Linked DNA regions of Xenopus tropicalis. The protein of the gene in region 4 purifies or fractionates together with the protein of the main gene of each other region. This does not show direct contact. Links are inferred from orthologs where the notes say so. Each region holds a gene or a part of one and is shown on either strand. Other genes may lie near its edges.

What was found.
Region 1: the proteins of stat1 (region 4) and irf9 purify together in Homo sapiens (affinity purification with western blotting; 5 studies listed by BioGRID and IntAct, with this or other methods). This does not show direct contact. The link is inferred for Xenopus tropicalis from reciprocal best matches to the Homo sapiens genes STAT1 and IRF9.
Region 2: the proteins of stat1 (region 4) and pias1 purify together in Homo sapiens (affinity purification with western blotting; 5 studies listed by BioGRID). This does not show direct contact. The link is inferred for Xenopus tropicalis from reciprocal best matches to the Homo sapiens genes STAT1 and PIAS1.
Region 3: the proteins of stat1 (region 4) and src purify together in Homo sapiens (affinity purification with western blotting; 3 studies listed by BioGRID). This does not show direct contact. The link is inferred for Xenopus tropicalis from reciprocal best matches to the Homo sapiens genes STAT1 and SRC.

What each region holds. Positions count from the first base shown.
Region 1 is NC_030677.2:139,369,454-139,373,666, reverse strand, and holds the start of irf9 (interferon regulatory factor 9), read left to right. Parts: upstream 1-1,394; 5' UTR 1,395-1,592; intron 1,593-4,213.
Region 2 is NC_030679.2:117,659,386-117,663,517, forward strand, and holds the start of pias1 (E3 SUMO-protein ligase PIAS1), read left to right. Parts: upstream 1-1,313; 5' UTR 1,314-1,392; coding exon 1,393-1,416; intron 1,417-1,439; exon of another isoform or gene 1,440-1,557; intron 1,558-2,032; exon of another isoform or gene 2,033-2,173; intron 2,174-4,132. UniProt on the Homo sapiens protein: Functions as an E3-type small ubiquitin-like modifier (SUMO) ligase, stabilizing the interaction between UBE2I and the substrate, and as a SUMO-tethering factor. Catalyzes sumoylation of various proteins, such as CEBPB, MRE11, MTA1, PTK2 and PML.
Region 3 is NC_030686.2:39,477,121-39,481,434, reverse strand, and holds the start of src (proto-oncogene tyrosine-protein kinase Src), read left to right. Parts: upstream 1-1,495; 5' UTR 1,496-1,657; intron 1,658-1,788; exon of another isoform or gene 1,789-1,864; coding exon of another isoform or gene 1,865-1,873; intron 1,874-4,314. UniProt on the Homo sapiens protein: Non-receptor protein tyrosine kinase which is activated following engagement of many different classes of cellular receptors including immune response receptors, integrins and other adhesion receptors, receptor protein tyrosine kinases, G protein-coupled receptors as well as cytokine receptors.
Region 4 is NC_030685.2:43,531,913-43,535,971, reverse strand, and holds the start of stat1 (signal transducer and activator of transcription 1-alpha/beta), read left to right. Parts: upstream 1-1,166; 5' UTR 1,167-1,310; intron 1,311-4,059. UniProt on the Homo sapiens protein: Signal transducer and transcription activator that mediates cellular responses to interferons (IFNs), cytokine KITLG/SCF and other cytokines and other growth factors.

The sequences.
Region 1 (4,213 bases), on a different chromosome or scaffold from region 4:
GAAATATTTTTCAGATCAATTAATGGTTATTTTATAGAATGATATAGCCTTGTGCCACTGAAAGAGAAAATTGCAAGTGATGCCAATATCTGAATTCCAAGTCTGGTGTAAGCTTCATTGTAGGCCAGGTTTATGGAAACTCCTTCTCTTCTTGGACATAAGTTCATTCATTCATTCATTCATGCTGTACAAAAAAACAAACCAAAACAGTACAATATACCCCACCCATAGTGTAACAAGTACACAGAAAATATATGTTCTGTGTGCACAATTGGTTATACCCACATATTCTACATCCTTGGAAAAACTATAGTGGCACAAACATGTGATACAAGGGAATCCAACATCACTGCCACTATACATATGTTTTGTATCTGGAGAATGTCCTACACAGTCACAAGGGACTTCAGTAGGTATCTGCTTGCCTGCTCCTAAAGCCCTTCTGAGTCATAAATTACATAAATCCATACAGATGTTATCTAGTTTATATATATAAATTACATACATTTGTACTGTGCAACCAAAACTGACCAAAACAGTCCATCTATACCCCTTGATGAGACCTAGGGGCACATTTACTAAGCCACGAACGGGCCGAATGCGTCCGATTGCGTTTTTTTTCGTAATGATCGGTATTTTGCGATTTTTTTCGGAAAAATTTTGTGACTTTTTCGTTACTAATACGATTTGTGCGAAAAAACGCGAGTTTTTCGTAGCCATTCCGAAAGTTGCGCAAAATCTGTCGATTTTTCGTAGCGTTAAAACTTGCGCAAAAAGTTGCACCTTTTAAGTTTTAACGCTACGAAAAAGGCGAAACTTTTCGCGCAAGTTTTAACGCTACAGAAAAATCGGGCGATTTTGCGCAACTTTCGGAATGGCTACGAAAAACTCGCGTTTTTTCGCGCAAATCGTATTGGTAACGAAAAAGTCGCGACAATTTCCGAAAAGTCGTAAAGACGCCGAAAAAATCGCAAAAAATACGAAAAAGTCGCAAAATGTTCGTTTTCAAGTCGGAATTTTTCCAATTCGGTTCAGATTCGTGTCTTAGTAAATGTGTCCCCTAGAGTTGGGTCAGTCCCAGAGACTTTCATTAATCTCAATTATATTATAGAGACTGGTTGTGCAGTTGGTGCACATCAGATTATATTAGTACACATCCGATTACAAATGTTATATCTTCCATTTCTCTAATGTAATAGGTAATTGGATGTGCACTAATGTAATATATACATGTGGACGAATCATAGGCTGTAGGGGTGAGTCAGTATCACCTTGGGTGTGTTCTTATTTCGCTGTTTATTAGCTCTACAATAACCAATAACATCGTTGTGACGCGATTAACCCCACACACACACAAATCCAAGCACATTGTAGGCAAGTCCTATTAGTGGCTTGCTGATGGTCACGTGATTTCGGGGAAAAGGAGGAGGCTGATCTTAGAGAGACGAGGAAACTGGTAAGGGCGGGGGGAGTGTTAGCGGAGATATTTGCTGGTGGAATAAACAGGGGAAGAGAAGAGGAAGCGCCCACCACTGACAAGCGAAACTTCTGACTGAAGCAAGGCAGGGAAGTGCAGATATAACTAACACAAGGTATGTGGGTGCAGACTAATGGCTTCCCTGCTGCTAGTTTGTATGCGGAAGAACAAGTTGGTGGGTCTCTATTTGCAATGCCATGTGCTTGAGAATATGCTGTCATTTCATTTTATAAGGACTGCGCTTCTCATTGCACTTTATGCATTCTACCTTAGTAGGTTTGCTGCAAAAATAGGAATTTTTTTAGGCACGGTGCCAATTTATTGCGCCACAGGCTGACAAGGACAGTAGATGTTTCTGGGGACAAATCCACCCTTTTTTTTTAAGAAATAAAGTGTAATACACAAAAGTGAAATTTACAAAACAAATTCCCAACCCCTTTTTCAGATTGATCAATAGTGGATTATGGGAATTGTAGTCCCACCTAATTTTGAAAGGAGAATGTACTCCCATTGTATTGAGTAACTGAAATACTTTATACATAGGGAGGGGAGTATTATGTTTGGAAATTTAAAACTTTATCGATTGATTATTGTGTATATATAAGTGGAAGAAGAGTATACTTTTGCTGGATTAAGAAATGCTTTACATTTGTTGAATATAATGTTTAGCAGTTTAAAACGTAATCAATAGGGCATCATGGTAAATGTAGTCCCAATTATTGAATTCTAAGTAAAGTGTAGTTCCACATTAAAATTGTTTCCACCATCAGTGGTGCGGTTAGGCAAAACAGTTGTATTTTTTGGGGGGGATTTTAACATGCTTATGAACTTTATGGAAAATATTCCAATACATAAAAACAAACTTAGAGGGCTATTTAATATAAGGTGTAAAGTTTCCCACAGTTCTTATCACCTATAGCAACCAATCAGCAGGAAACCTGTTGATTTGTTTAAAAGTAAACATCTTATTGGTTGCTAAGTGTTACTGTGCATAGTATTTTATTACATAAACATATTTAGGGCTGTGACCAATCTCCCTTGTCGCGGGCGACTAATCTCCCCGCAGCGCCATCCCACCGGGTAGAACAGGGGGCCAATACGCCGAACGTGGTCCACCAGTCGATCCCCCATGGATTCCTGGTGGACCGCAATCAAGCCGGGGATGCGGAAGTGCTGCGTGAATGTGTACGTACGCATTCACACCGCACTTCCACATTCCCTAGTCATCGGGACACCCCTGGGCTAGAATGTAAATCGCCGGTGAGATGGCATACCCAGCGCCATGATTTGCCGAACTTTCCTCTTGAGGTGACTATGGCAAACTGCAGTGCCGTGTATGCCATCCCACTGCCGATCTACATTATAGCCGGTGGGATGATTAGGGGAGATTAGTCGCCCGGGTACAGCAACCTATATCAACCTACAAGATGTTTGCTTTCAACAGTTGACCAGCAAATGCTACCTGCTCATAGGCTGATATGGAAACATGCTCCTGGGAAAAATTACAGTGGCAAAACATGGATCAGCCACAGGTGCTGTCTGCCCATAAATGAAACAAACAAGCAGCAACCTTACTACTGTTCTGATCAGTCATGCATAGCATACAAACAATTAGAACAGCAGCAAGTAAAGCATAATTGTTGCTCTTCTTCACTTCCTTGTCTGACCGACATGGTGCATCACAGTCGAACAATGTCCATTGTATATGGATAGCAGCTGACTCGCTGATTGCTGCTGCAAATCTTGATGTATAGTAGCTAGTAGTGATGTGCGGGCTGGCCTGATACCCACGGTTTACCCCTGGGTCAGGCTGACCTTGGCACATCACAGCACCTAACACTGCTGGCTTCCTCTTCTGGCCTGTTAATTTATAGGCACGTGCCCGACACACCCACCCCTTTTGTGAAGTCATTGTGGGCAGGGTCTATAAATTAGAGGGGAGAAGCCGGGTCAGGTATGGTTAGGGTTGGGAGTGGGCAGGTCAGGGTCGAGGGTTTCTCGACCCGCACATCACTAGTAGCTAGGCATCTGGGAACTGAAGTATCATGGGAGAATGGTGGACAAGGCGTGCAAGATCTATTCTATCTATACAGAGGTAGCCTAGCTTGGTAGGGTCTCTGAGGGCAGTAACTAATATGAATCAATCAATTATACCTGTGCTGTATGGGAGTGACAAGTCTGTGCATGAATTTGACTAGAACTAAAAATTCAAACTAGTAAAGAAAACTTTTATGAATGTTACTACCGCTTTCCAGTTGTTGGAAAACTCAGACACAGTCTGAGCCTTACCTGAAGACTGGAAAGCTGCACTTTAAGAAATATGTTCGTATGTGTATGCAGTTAGCATGTCTTTCTTGTTTTTCATGCCTATTTTTTTCAAAACACCATTCCCGAGGCAAGTGTAGAACTTGTTTTCAAACTCTTTGTGGCTTATCTTCCTGGTAGATCTTGTTAGACCAAACATATTTATTGGCTGTAGCTCCTAGATGAAGCTCTTTGCAATACTCGGCAAGTTAAAAGTAGTGCCATTACAACAGGCAACTCTATCACTCTCATAATAACACTCTCGTATAAGGTAATTACATAGTTAATTTGGGTTGAATCAAGTTTAGTCCCTCCAAATGACCTCAGTGTGTATGTATATATTTCACAAACATATATTTCACATTCTTTTACAAGAAATCTCAGTCTTGCTGGTCTTTTTTTTTTTTTTTTGTAGTATTGGAACCATTTACT
Region 2 (4,132 bases), on a different chromosome or scaffold from region 4:
AAATTCCAGCCCTCAGTACCACGGAAGTTGGATAGCACTGACCTAACAAACATCCACAGGTTCAGCCTGCTTTGATTCATTGTGTGTAATTTAATAAGATATATAGGAACCTGGAATAGACACAGGGCTTGAGGAGGGTAGTGTTGTGCCTACACATGCAAATGACTGTAGTGGATCACACCTTAATGCATGTGCAGTGTAGCGGTACAATAAAAAGTACCTAGGTCCAGTGCATTTTTTAGAGAAGAAGAACACTGGCCATGGGGTCCTAGGTTAGAGTTACTGGTGGGTGACCAGTTTTTTTACCCCCCAGTCAGTTTGGCTTTCTTGTCTTTCAAGGCTTGGGGCACACTGGCATATTGTCTGCTGTTGCAGAAGTGTTTGATCATTTCCATTTGTCTTGTCTATAGCAGAGACAGACAGATTTTGTCTAGAAACAATTTTCTGGTCAAGCTCTGCCTGCAACCAGCAGTTCCATTCAATATCTATGAACTGAGTGACGGGCAGAATGGTCACAATCTAACCAGTGAGGAATAAACCCCTGTGCCATAGGCCAATTGGTGTGTCTGGGCAAGCCGACAAGCCACACAGGCTCCAGCTTGTACAGTGTATATATCTAACAACAATAGCTATTAGTGGGAGGAAGGACTACCAGAGAGGTAATAGAGGCACTTGGACACAATTAATGTGTGTCACCAATTGTGACAATGAGCAATGAGTGGCTTTTTTGGTGCTTCTACTGAGGCAAAATCTAGCAACACACCTTCTCCCAGGAGGCACCTATGTTAAAGAACTGTAAGCAATGATGGACAAAATTTTTTAATACGTCAGCCTTCAAGTTAAAATAAGACAAAAATGTCTCACTTTTGCTTTGGAGGACTCGTATTGTGTAAACTCCCTAAACGCGATGCTTGGGCCTGATACAGGAACACAGGATGGGGTATATTAATCATGTTATGCAAAAAGTGGAGTGATGCATTACCTGTGATGTTGCCCAGGGCAACCAATCAGCTATTAGATTTCAAGTTTCAAGAACACCAAAGCAAAACATCTCAATGGCTGCTATGAGCAACATCACCAGTAATGATTCACTCCACTTTTTACACAGCATGATAAATATAAGTATAGTCTATTCCACCAATCTACCTAGCCTTTGTGTTACCGACAGCACTTAGGCTAGCTATAGGACCGCAACACTTTCCCCGCAAAAAGAGGGGCTAATGTGAGCCGCACCGTATCCCCTCTTCTTCCCCACCCGAATGCAGCACCGCTCTTATACAACTCGCAGCTTATGCAATTGGCGCCTTTTTTCGAATCCTGCGTAGTGACGCAACGAGTCGCGTCCGAGCCACGTCGCGGCGGGTTCATTACGCCTGCGCGCAAAGCAGCAAGATGGCGGACAGTGCGGAACTGAAGGTAAAGCGCAGCTGGAATTGCGGGACCGGGATTGCGGTCTCCGCTATGTATTGGCAATTGGGAGGTCGGGTGTGTTGAAGCGAATGGCCGGGGGAACTCGCAGAAGCGGCTCCCGGAAGCAGAGGGAGTTATGTTGCATGTGTAAGGCAGAGGGGCCCTTGTTATTGTTGGTGCTGCCCGGGTGGAGGGGGCTGGTGAGGGCATGTTGGTTAGGCTGGTAGGAGGGCGAGGGTCCTGATGCACACACGGAGCGAGGGAATGTGAGCGGCGGCAGCCCGGGCAGGGCGCACGGTAGGGGCTGCTGGGAGCTCTCCCAAGGGATGAGTGAGAGGAAGATGCTCCTACTTGGTACTTGGTCTCTTTAATAAGCGATGTTGCGCGTCTCCTGTTGCTGCCCGACCCCCCAATCCATCACTACTGACAAGCGGCTGTCAGGGGATGTGCGATACTTTAATGAAAGGAAGTTTCTGCGCCGTGTGGACTTTATTCCGCTTCATTCGGGGATCTGTCGGCTCCAGGATACTTTATCGCACACAGTCCTGCCCGCTAAGCCCGGCGTAATGACGGGGGGGGGGGGGCTGTCAGGGTTGCCAAGCAACAGTTCTCATTTAATAACATTTCTCGGGGATGGATTCCTATCTTGTGCTGACAAATAAGCAGCGTTTATTCGGGATCTTAAAAACGTTTGGCTTGATGTTCACTTTGCAGAGTCCCGGGTTGAGCTGCTTGTTTCGGCTGATTCATACAGAGATCTGGGGTGCGTGTGAGGTGCTTCTATTTCTTATAAAATTGCTGTTTATTTTACGTTTATTTTACATGTCCCTATCTCCTGTCACCATGCTCAGGGATCCTCTGTGCCTGCTACCCTTCCGCTAACTCCCCTCCCCCACTCGCCTCCCCTCCCCCACCCTTCCTCTGCATGGCCCTGTCTCTCTCCCCAGACATCATGTTGCTCTGCTGATTGATAGGAAGTGATAGTACCTGGTGGGCTTGCATCCCTTGTAGAGCTGATAGAGGGGCTTCACAGAATGCTTTCTCCTCCAAGTTTCCCCTCTATGCATTGGGCACCGCTTGCAGCAAACTTTCTTCCTGCTGTACCATCTTCTCTTAACTGGGAGCCTGTGTGCTGTCTGATAAACACACAGATGTGCTGTACCGTAACTTGCATCTCTCAAAAATCCACTGTATTGGGATTCGGCTGATCCCCCAAATATTTCATGAAAGAATACTAAACCGAATCCTAACTTGCCTATGAAAATGAAGGCACAGAAGGTGTAAAAACAACCGCACGTGGTGAAAAATGTTCAACTTCAGCTTTTATATGGTGAAAAGTCACATAATTTGAAGGATTTGTTTTAGCCAGGCCCACAGATTCGGCTCAATCTTGAAGAAAAAGCCGGAATCTTGGCCGAATCTGGAACCAAATCCTGGATTCTGTGCATCCCTAGTCTGAGGCAAGGAGTTGTCATTTTATTGACTTTGGTATATCAAGGCTATGCATTAGTACTGTTGTACTATAGTAAGTGCTTAAGAATAGCCTGTTGCACCTGTATATATTCAGTGTACTTTGTAATTTTAATTGTGTAATTCATATATTTATACATTGTAATGTATGCATTTTAGATTGTGAGATATTGTAAGATATAACAGGCAGAGCCTTCTTTACCTAATGAATCAGTCAGTAATTGTGTGATTAATGTGTATACCCTCTCCAGACAGGAGTGAGCTGCATTGAAGCACACAGACCCACAGTATAATCCAATTGCTGGCCTGTCAGGCTGCTTTGATACTATGAATCAGTGGGCAAATTTGGCAGGCTATGTTCTGCTCTGTATCTGAAAGCCTGACAGGCTAAAGCTGAGCAAAGAATGGGGTTTGTTTACACAGAAGGCTTTCCAGTGGTGTGCTGACTTGTTTTGATTGTGCATGTAGGTATCAGGAATTAGAACACGCTTTTCATTTTTAAATTTTGCCCTGTGTAGCGTAGGAATATAAGATGATGGTATTTGCTGCCCCTTTTGAATGCATGGCTAGTTTTTATACTTTTCTCTGCAATTTAAGATGGCCATGATGACATTGAGGTGGACAATATCAGGCTGATAGCTTGGCCCTCGGCCCAACAATTGGGTCATAATTGTCACCATGTAGGCAGTCGAATAGAGGACCCAGTCAACCCACAGATGTGGCCTTCAATCCTATGGGGAAATCAAACCTACCTGATTGACATATTGCCTGATTTTTGTCCAGATATCGGTTGAGTAGGCCCTGTCGTGGGGACCCCATACATGGGTGGATAAGCTGCTTATCCTGCTTGTCTGCTAAATTGGTGGGCATTAACTGGCATGATTCTACCATTTGAGGACACGATGTATGCTGCAATGTTTGGTCTGACCAAGCTAATAACTTTCATTAACCTCTATAGCTGTGCATGGAAAGCTCGCATACAAGTAATTATGTGCAAGTACTAAGTAGGGCCTGATTCTGACTGCAGTTCTGCCTCTGAAACAATAACATGACTAATATACTGGTGCTTATAAACAATCTGACATAAGTAGATGAATATATGCAGGAGGACTTAGGTATTGTTGTTCTAAACATTAAGAAATGCCTTGTGCATACTTGAGGAATTAGTTACAATGAGGAAATGAAGCATGGGCATAGTGACTATTCATCAGATGCTCATGGCACTAACATCATATTGTAATTATATGTTGGT
Region 3 (4,314 bases), on a different chromosome or scaffold from region 4:
GGTTGCTAGGGTCATTGGAGGCTTAGCAACCAGATAACAGTCATCCAAACAATAGTTCACAAAGAGCTAGGGAAAAGTACTAGAGGTGGGAGTGCTGGGTGCATGGGGTGAAGTACTAGAGGCGCGGGTGCTGGGTGTATGGGGTGAAGTACTAGAGACATGTGAGCTTGGTGTATGGGGAGAAGTACTAGAGAGGTGGGTGCTGGGTGTATGGGGAGAAGTACTAGAGGGGTGGGTGCTGGGTGTATGGGTAGAAGTACTAGAGAGGTGGGTGCTGGGTGTATGGGGAGAAGTACTAGAGAGGTGGGTGCTGGGTGTATGGGGAGAAGTACTAGAGGGGTGGGTGCTGGGTGTATGGGGAGAAGTACTAGAGGGGTGGGTGCTGGGTGTATGGGGAGAAGTACTAGAGAGGTGGGTGCTGGGTGTATGGGAAGAAGTACTAGAGGGGTGGGTGCTGGGTGTATGGGGAGAAGTACTAGAGAGGTGGGTGCTGGGTGTATGGGGAGAAGTACTAGAGGGGTGGGTGCTGGGTGTATGGGGAGAAGTACTAGAGGGGTGGGTGCTGGGTGTATGGGGAGAAGTACTAGAGAGGTGGGTGCTGGGTGTATGGGGAGAAGTAATAGAGGGGTGGGTGCTGGGTGTATGGGGAGAAGTACTAGAGGGGTGGGCGCTTTATAAATAAATGTTAATGTAATGCTGGGTGTATGGGGAGAAGTACTAGAGAGGTGGGTGCTGGGTGTATGGGGAGAAGTACTAGAGGGGTGGGCGCTTTATAAATAAATGTTAATGTAATGCTGGGTGTATGGGGAGAAGTACTAGAGGGGTGGGTGCTGGGTGTATGGGGAGAAGTACTAGAGGGGTGGGTGCTGGGTGTATGGGGAGAAGTACTAGAGGGGTGGGTGCTGGGTGTATGGGGAGAAGTACTAGAGGGGTGGGTGCTGGGTGTATGGGGAGAAGTACTAGAGGGGTGGGTGCTGGGTGTATGGGGAGAAGTACTAGAGGGGTGGGTGCTGGGTGTATGGGGAGAAGTACTAGAGGGGTGGGTGCTGGGTGTATGGGGAGAAGTACTAGAGGGGTGGGTGCTGGGTGTATGGGGAGAAGTATAGGGTTGTGTAATTCCTCTAGTTGAGTGAATCAGTCGGTGCGACTCACCAGGGAAGAATGAGAGAAAGGAAGACAAGGGAAGCCAGGCTAGCTCTGGGAGGGGAGGAGGAGAGAGGGGGAAGTGTTGGGATTAGAGGTGGGATCTGAGAGGGGAATAATGCAAATGAAAGGGGAAGGACAAAGGGGAAAGACAAAAAGGGACAGGCCGAATTAATAAGCGCCCCGGACTGTGGTGAGAGAGCAGGCTGGGTGTCACTGGGGCAGTACAGAGACCCCCCAACGGGAGTGACAGGCTGGGCCAGGGCTGATTCAGTGGGAGGAGGGACAGGCGGACCCGGGGGAGGGCAGCACAGGCGGAGGGGAGGAGGGAGCTGGAGCCGGCCGGGCGTGAACCGTACGCTGAGTAGATCCCCAAACTTCCCGGCCCAGGAGGAATCTGATGTGTGGGGAGAGGCACCGGGAGATAGTGGGTACGAGAAGAGCGCTCTTGCCCCCCTCTGTGTGAGGGGGGTTCCCGGAGAGTGGAATCTCCCGATATCTCAGGCAGGACAAGGTAAGTAGTGGCTGCACCGTGCCGCTAGGGGGCGTAGGATAGTACCACGGGTGCAGAGAATGGGGGCGCTATAGGCTGCTTGGGAATGGTGTATGTAACGCCTTTGGGGGTATTTGGAGCACTGCTACCATATGGGCCTTTAAATCTCACTCTGGCCCGGTATTCGGTGGGTATGCCTGTGTATATGTTGTGCACACAGGCCCTTTAATGGTCAGGGTAAGTGCAGCATGTTTCCTGCGAACATCAGGGGTTAAACTTCTGGGCCAATAAGCTAGCGTACATTTAACACATGATTTTGAGATGGGGGCATGCTGGGAGTCACTGGGCAAGTCTGGAGTTGAGAGAATATTGGGGAGTGAAGGGGCTAGTTAGCAATATTGGGTGTGCTGGGCATGGATGGGGGGAATTCTATAGTATACAGGGCATGTATGGGGGAATGCTATAGTATACAGGGCATGTATGGGGGGAATGCTATAGTATACAGGGCATGTATGGGGGGAATGCTATAGTATACAGGGCATGTATGGGGGGAATGCTATAGTATACAGGGCATGTATGGGGGGAATGCTATAGTATACAGGGCATGTATGGGGGGAATGCTATAGTATACAGGGCATGTATGGGGGGAATGCTATAGTATACAGGGCATGTATGGGGGGAATGCTATAGTATACAGGGCATGTATGGGGGGAATGCTATAGTATACAGGGCATGTATGGGGGGAATGCAGGAGGGTACAGGGCATGTATGGGGGAATGCAGGAGGGTACAGGGCATGTATGGGGGAATGCAGGAGGGTACAGGGTGTGTGTGGGTAAATGGTACAGGGAGTAAAGGATGGCTGGAGAGTACAGGGCATGCATGGAGGAGTGGTGAAGGGTACAAGGCGTGCATGGTGGGTTATCATAGATTGTACACTTGTGAGTCCTCTCTATAATAAACCAAAGGCCATCCTGCTACTGGTTGAAGTTGAGAGTTAAAATTCAACCCAGCTCTATAGGTATGGGTAGTTCTGGGGAGCAAAACTATGCTATGTACCTGTGTATGTATGTGGAACAATTCTGCATATAAACACACACAATGGTCAAACAGCTACTATGGCAGTGGGTTGCACAATTATTATAGTTTATATCTAAATTTAGATTGGTATTAAATGTCATACAGAGCTGGCAGCATTGTTTTTTTTTTTAACTATGTGATTGCTACAATTAGCAAATGGCAAGGGTAAATGTTTATGAATGTACTCAAGCAAATGGGTATCCCTCCCCCTTTTAACCATTTGCTGTGCAGCTTTTAAAGCAGGAGGCTTTAGGGCCATGATCATAACTTTCCAATGTCGCCTTGTTAGTGCCAGGTTGTAGGTAAAGGGCTAAGGGTGCTAGGTTATACGTAGGATGCACCAAACCCACTATTTTCAGATTCCGTCAAACTCAGTGTCCTTCGTAAAGGATTCGGCCAAATACCAAGCATATGTAAATTAGGATAGGGAAGGGTTAAAGCGAGCCTCGTGCGCAGGTTGCGCTGAAAAAATTTCAACTTCTGTGTTTATATGACAAAAAGGCACATGATTTTTAGTGTTCTGATTCAATTCAGTGCATCCCTAGCTGTAGGTATAGGTACATGAGTGCCAAGCAGTGGGTACAGTGGTATATGTGCCAGGCTTTAGATAAAGGAAGGGGCTGTTTACCAGGCTGTAGGTATAGGTACATAAGTGCCAAGCAGCGGGTACAGTGGTATATGTGCCAGGCTGTAGGTATAGGTACATAAGGGCCAAGCAACAGGTACAGTGATATATGTGCCAGGCTGTAGGTATAGGTACATAAGTGCCAAGCAGTGGGTACAGTGGTATATGTGCCAGGCTGTAGGTATAGGTACATAAGGGCCAAGCAACAGGTACAGTGATATATGTGCCAGGCTGAAGGTATAGGTACATAAGTGCCAAGCAGCGGGTACAGTAGTATATGTGCCAGGCTGTAGGTATAGGTACATAAGGGCCAAGCAGCAGGTACAGTGGTATATGTGCCAGGCTGAAGGTATAGGTACATAAGTGCCAAGCAGCGGGTACAGTGGTATATGTGCCAGGCTGAAGGTATAGGTACATAAGTGCCAAGCAGCGGGTACAGTGGTATATGTGCCAGGCTATAGGTATAGGTACATAAGTGCCAAGCAGTGGGTACAGTGGTATATGTGCCAGGCTGTAGGTATATGTATGTGAGTTCTCAAGCTCTGAGTACAATGATACATGTGCCAGGCTGTAGTCAAAGAGGTATATTTGCTACACTGTATGTAAAGGGCTATATGTACCAGACTGTTGGTACAAGTGAAAGGCTTCTGATACAGGGGTATGTATGCTAGGTTGTTGGGAAGGGCCTATGTAGCTAGGCTGGGTAAAGGGCAACGTGTGCCAGGCTTTGTTATCATCGGCTTATCAAATATACTGACACATGAATGTATCTTAGCAAATAACCTTTAGATAAAATCAGCAGGTCTTTTCAACCAAAAATTTATGCTCTGGCCTCCCTCTAGTGCAAAGCTACAACTCCCGAGGGTGATGGGAGTTGTAGTTTTGTACTAGGTGGAGGCTACAGTTGCCTTAGAGCCAGCTAAATCCCAGCTCACCTTCACACGTGCCTCAATCCCTGTTGAGTCTATCAGAAT
Region 4 (4,059 bases):
ATGTATAAATATCATATACATATATATATGTAGGGACCCATAGGGTTAAGCTCCCTATGGCTTTATCCTCTACCTCTTCACACCTCTATTGTTATTGGGCAGAGCCCCTGTACTTAAGTTACTGTTCTAACACTATTCCCTATAGATTTAGTCAGGTTGACCACTCCCCCTGCAGACTGAAATAGCGTCTAGCAGGGAGGAGTGGCTTCCTCTTTGGCTGCCTGTCTGCTACCTAAGCACAGCTCCTTCTGAGCCTGGGTGCTGCAACAGGCCCCAGTAAGCCACCTTAGTCCAAAGAACACCTTACTAATTGTATAAGTCAGGGACAGGGCCCTGTGAATGAGGATAAGTAAGCACAGCAGATTTATTTAATAGCACTCTCTAGTAGAAGTGAGCATAGTCAGCTCTAGCTAGAAAGGGCCATTAGCCTACCAAAGGAATGATTAGATCCAGGAGTATTTCTCCTATCCGGCAATGTTGTCTCAGTGCAGGGCTCTAGGAGGACTCAATCCACTAGAGGTTATCAACCTGAAGGAGTTCCTACTACTTGCACTATCTCTCAAGGGGTACTGGTTGAAAGGTGTATATCCCGGCCCAGACTCTACCAAGAGGTGGGGTAAACCGGTGTACACTCTCTCTTCTACAAAAGAGAAATCCCTCATTGTACCATTTCAATCTGCATGTCTGTGAGTATGATAACCCTGCATAACATCTGTGTCTTTGACCAATAAATCTGTATTATAGTTCACCAGCAAGAACCTTTCTGCGTCCATTTATACCATCTACACTACACAGCATCAGAAAGTTGTAGTTCAACTACACCCTCAGCTCCTATCTTACATCTCCCACATAGCAGAGGCCCATGCCGAAGAATTAAGGGTCACATGTAACACATGCTCTATATTACACTACAAGCCTGGGTTGGCCTAATCTAAGACAAAATAGTGTTACATATAATACATATAAGAAGAAAAGTTCTGAAAAAGTAAACTGTAAAAAGTAGCCTGTTTGCTACAGCAAGATTAAATGTGCACAAATTAATCGTTTCGGTGCCCTTTAAGAAGTGTCCGCATCAAAGCAGAGGGAGGCAATCCAACTTAAAGTAACAGCCAGCAAACAATTTTATGATTTGCTGAAGTCAAGATTTAGAGGCGGGGATAGCTTGCAGTCTAGGAAGTAAGGGCTGTACCCTCATTTCTTCTTTCGGTTTTGTGTGTGTGAGTTGGTGATTCTAGAGGTATCCGGAATCAAAGTAAATTTCAAGACGTTTTATTTTGCTTTCTTGAGCTTATTATACAGGACGGCGTCAGGTACGTTGAAAGAGAGACATTTTACTCCACTGTACGGCGCCCATTTTAGGACATCATCGGTATAAACGCTTCTGCTAATGATTCTGTTTTTATAACTGTGCCTGTCTGGGCAACCCCATTGCTCTTTTGGTCTATTATATACTCATCACTATACTGCAGCATATATTATATAATTTTCGTAATTGTGTGCATCATTCTGCCTCTGCTAACATTTGCCCAGTTTTGATTAATAAGCCGACTGGATCATTCTGTATTTGGTCTACTTGGTTATAAACTCCAGTGTGCACAGCCCATGTTTAATCTGCTTTATGCTGAGTAATCCTGCCCATTTGTGAATCCTTGTGTACAGCTGGTGTATCACTTACCACAGTGACTTTTGTTTTTTGGAAACCCCTATTTTAATTTACATTGGTTTGTGAGCACTCTAAAGGCTGTCATGTACTGTTAAGTTGAGCTGCAAATCTGCACTGCTATTGTTTAATATTTGCCACTACTTAGCCAAGCAAATTTTATTTGCACAATTCATCTAAAAAAAAAAATCTACACAACATGTCTGTGGGTTTAATTAACTTGAATGTATTCCAATACCACTGGGTGACAAATTTATCCTGTATTTTTCAGTCTCAACTCTGATCTCTGAGTTTTTTGACAGACATTTCTATTTGAATATAAGACAGAATAACCCTTTTTCCCAGTGCAAACTTTAGAACACCCTAGAAATAACAAGCGCTCTAATGGCCTATTGCCTTAGGGTTGTCTTTGATTTTACCCTCTCCTTCAGTTGTCATATCCAATTAATAACTAAATCATGTCATGTTCACTTACAGAATAAAATATCGCTATCAAAAATGATGCCAGCATGACCATTCCTGCCATAAGACGGGAGTGTGCAACAGTTTACCAGGGGTGGCAAAAGAAGGCCCCTAACAATTAATTTTTAAATTCAGCTCTTCTAGTGCAAATAGACCGTTCCACTCCCTGTATTAGAGATACTGCTCCTCATAAATTAAGAATATATATTATTTTACAATTTAAAGTTTATAGCTGTTCATTTATTACCTACGAATATTCTATTTACTGGCAATGATTGCCCTATTTTATGATTTCATTTGACACGTGTAAGAACCAAACCTATTGTAATTTATGCATCTGTTCTTAGCTTGTTGTATAAACTGTTATTGGTGTATGTGAAGCAGTTGCACTGTAAAAATACATTGAATAGTCGGGTTTCCCCAGAGAACACGGTTTCCAGAAGGGCTGTCTGGGCCAAAACTCTCTGCCCGGTTTTCCTAATTTGGTAAACTGGGCAGGACTTTCCTAGATTAACATGGACCTGTATGTGCTGAAAAACGAACCCTCGGCTTATACTCGAGTATAAGGATTCGAGGCTGAACAAGTTTGTTTTACGGGGCACCCCTCTTCCCTCCCCGCGGCTGGACAGAGGGCTGGACGGGCGTGCGTGCACGAACCAACGCACGCATGCATGTGCACACAACAATATTTTGGGCATGTACAAATGCGTACGCAGAAAGGGTGTTGGGTGATAAGGAGAGAAACAAAGGAAGGGGGCACAGATAAGAAGGCAATCTGGGAACTACAAATCCCAGATTTATTAAATTATACATTACCCTATATCACTACCACCTGCTCTATGGCTGCTAGCTAAGTAAAGTCAAAAGGATAAATCACCATTGTGGTCATTTGGAGCATGTTGGGAATTGTAGTTCTTTGTACAATAATATTACAATGAGTGCATCACTATATACAGATTCTGTACATGAGCCGTTTATTTATCTGGATGTCAGCTGACCCCCTCGGATCACTGTTGTGCCCTACAGAGAGTGTTCTGAATGTTCTGGTTGGGCCTTGGCCGGTACGCATTGCACTATGGGAGTGCATGGGAATTATGGGAAACAACCTTGTGCAGATATGGAAAGCTCAGTCAGTGGGTCCCTAGGCAGGTATTGTATACTTACAGGCCTGGACTGGCAATCTCTGGGTTCTGGCAAATGCCAGAGGGGCTGATGTAAGATGCCACAGACAGTCACTATTTATTGGGCTGGGGGGCTTTTTGGGCCCCTGTGTACTTGAAATGCCAGGGCCTATTTCGAATCCCAGTCCAGGCCTGCCTACCTACCTGCTACTGGTGGCCTATACTAGCTTGTTTGCCGGTGGCTACTGACAATAAAATATAAGGAAGAGACACGACTTTTCCCTTTGCTAATGGAGTTCTTGAAGCTGGAAACGGAACCTTTATATTATACGCCATGGCGCAGGCTTCTAGGGGGCAGAACAAGATGGTGGAATGTATTGTTGACTTTTTAGCGGTAAATATCCAGGGTGCCTACCCCAGAGTTACTAGGGTTGGTTCACCAATGAGTGTCCAGGGTGTCCAGGGCCTACCTAGGCTTATACTCGAGTCAATAAGTTTTTCCAGTTTTCTTAGGTAAAATTAGGTAATTAAAATGGAGGGTATGGGAGACGGGCTTTCTGTAATTCGGAGCTTTCTGGATAACTGGTTTCCGGATAAGGGATTCCATACCTGTAATTGGATAGAGAACTGACTGAAGGATAGATTGCAGAGAGTGCTGTTAAATTGAACATTTTCCAATTGGACCAGTGTTGTTAGTGGAGTACCGCAGGGGTCTGTCTTTGGTCTTTGCTTTTTAACTTGTTTAATAATAACCTGGAGGTGTGTATTACTACTATACTACGTATTATATATTTTATTATGATACTAAATTGTGCA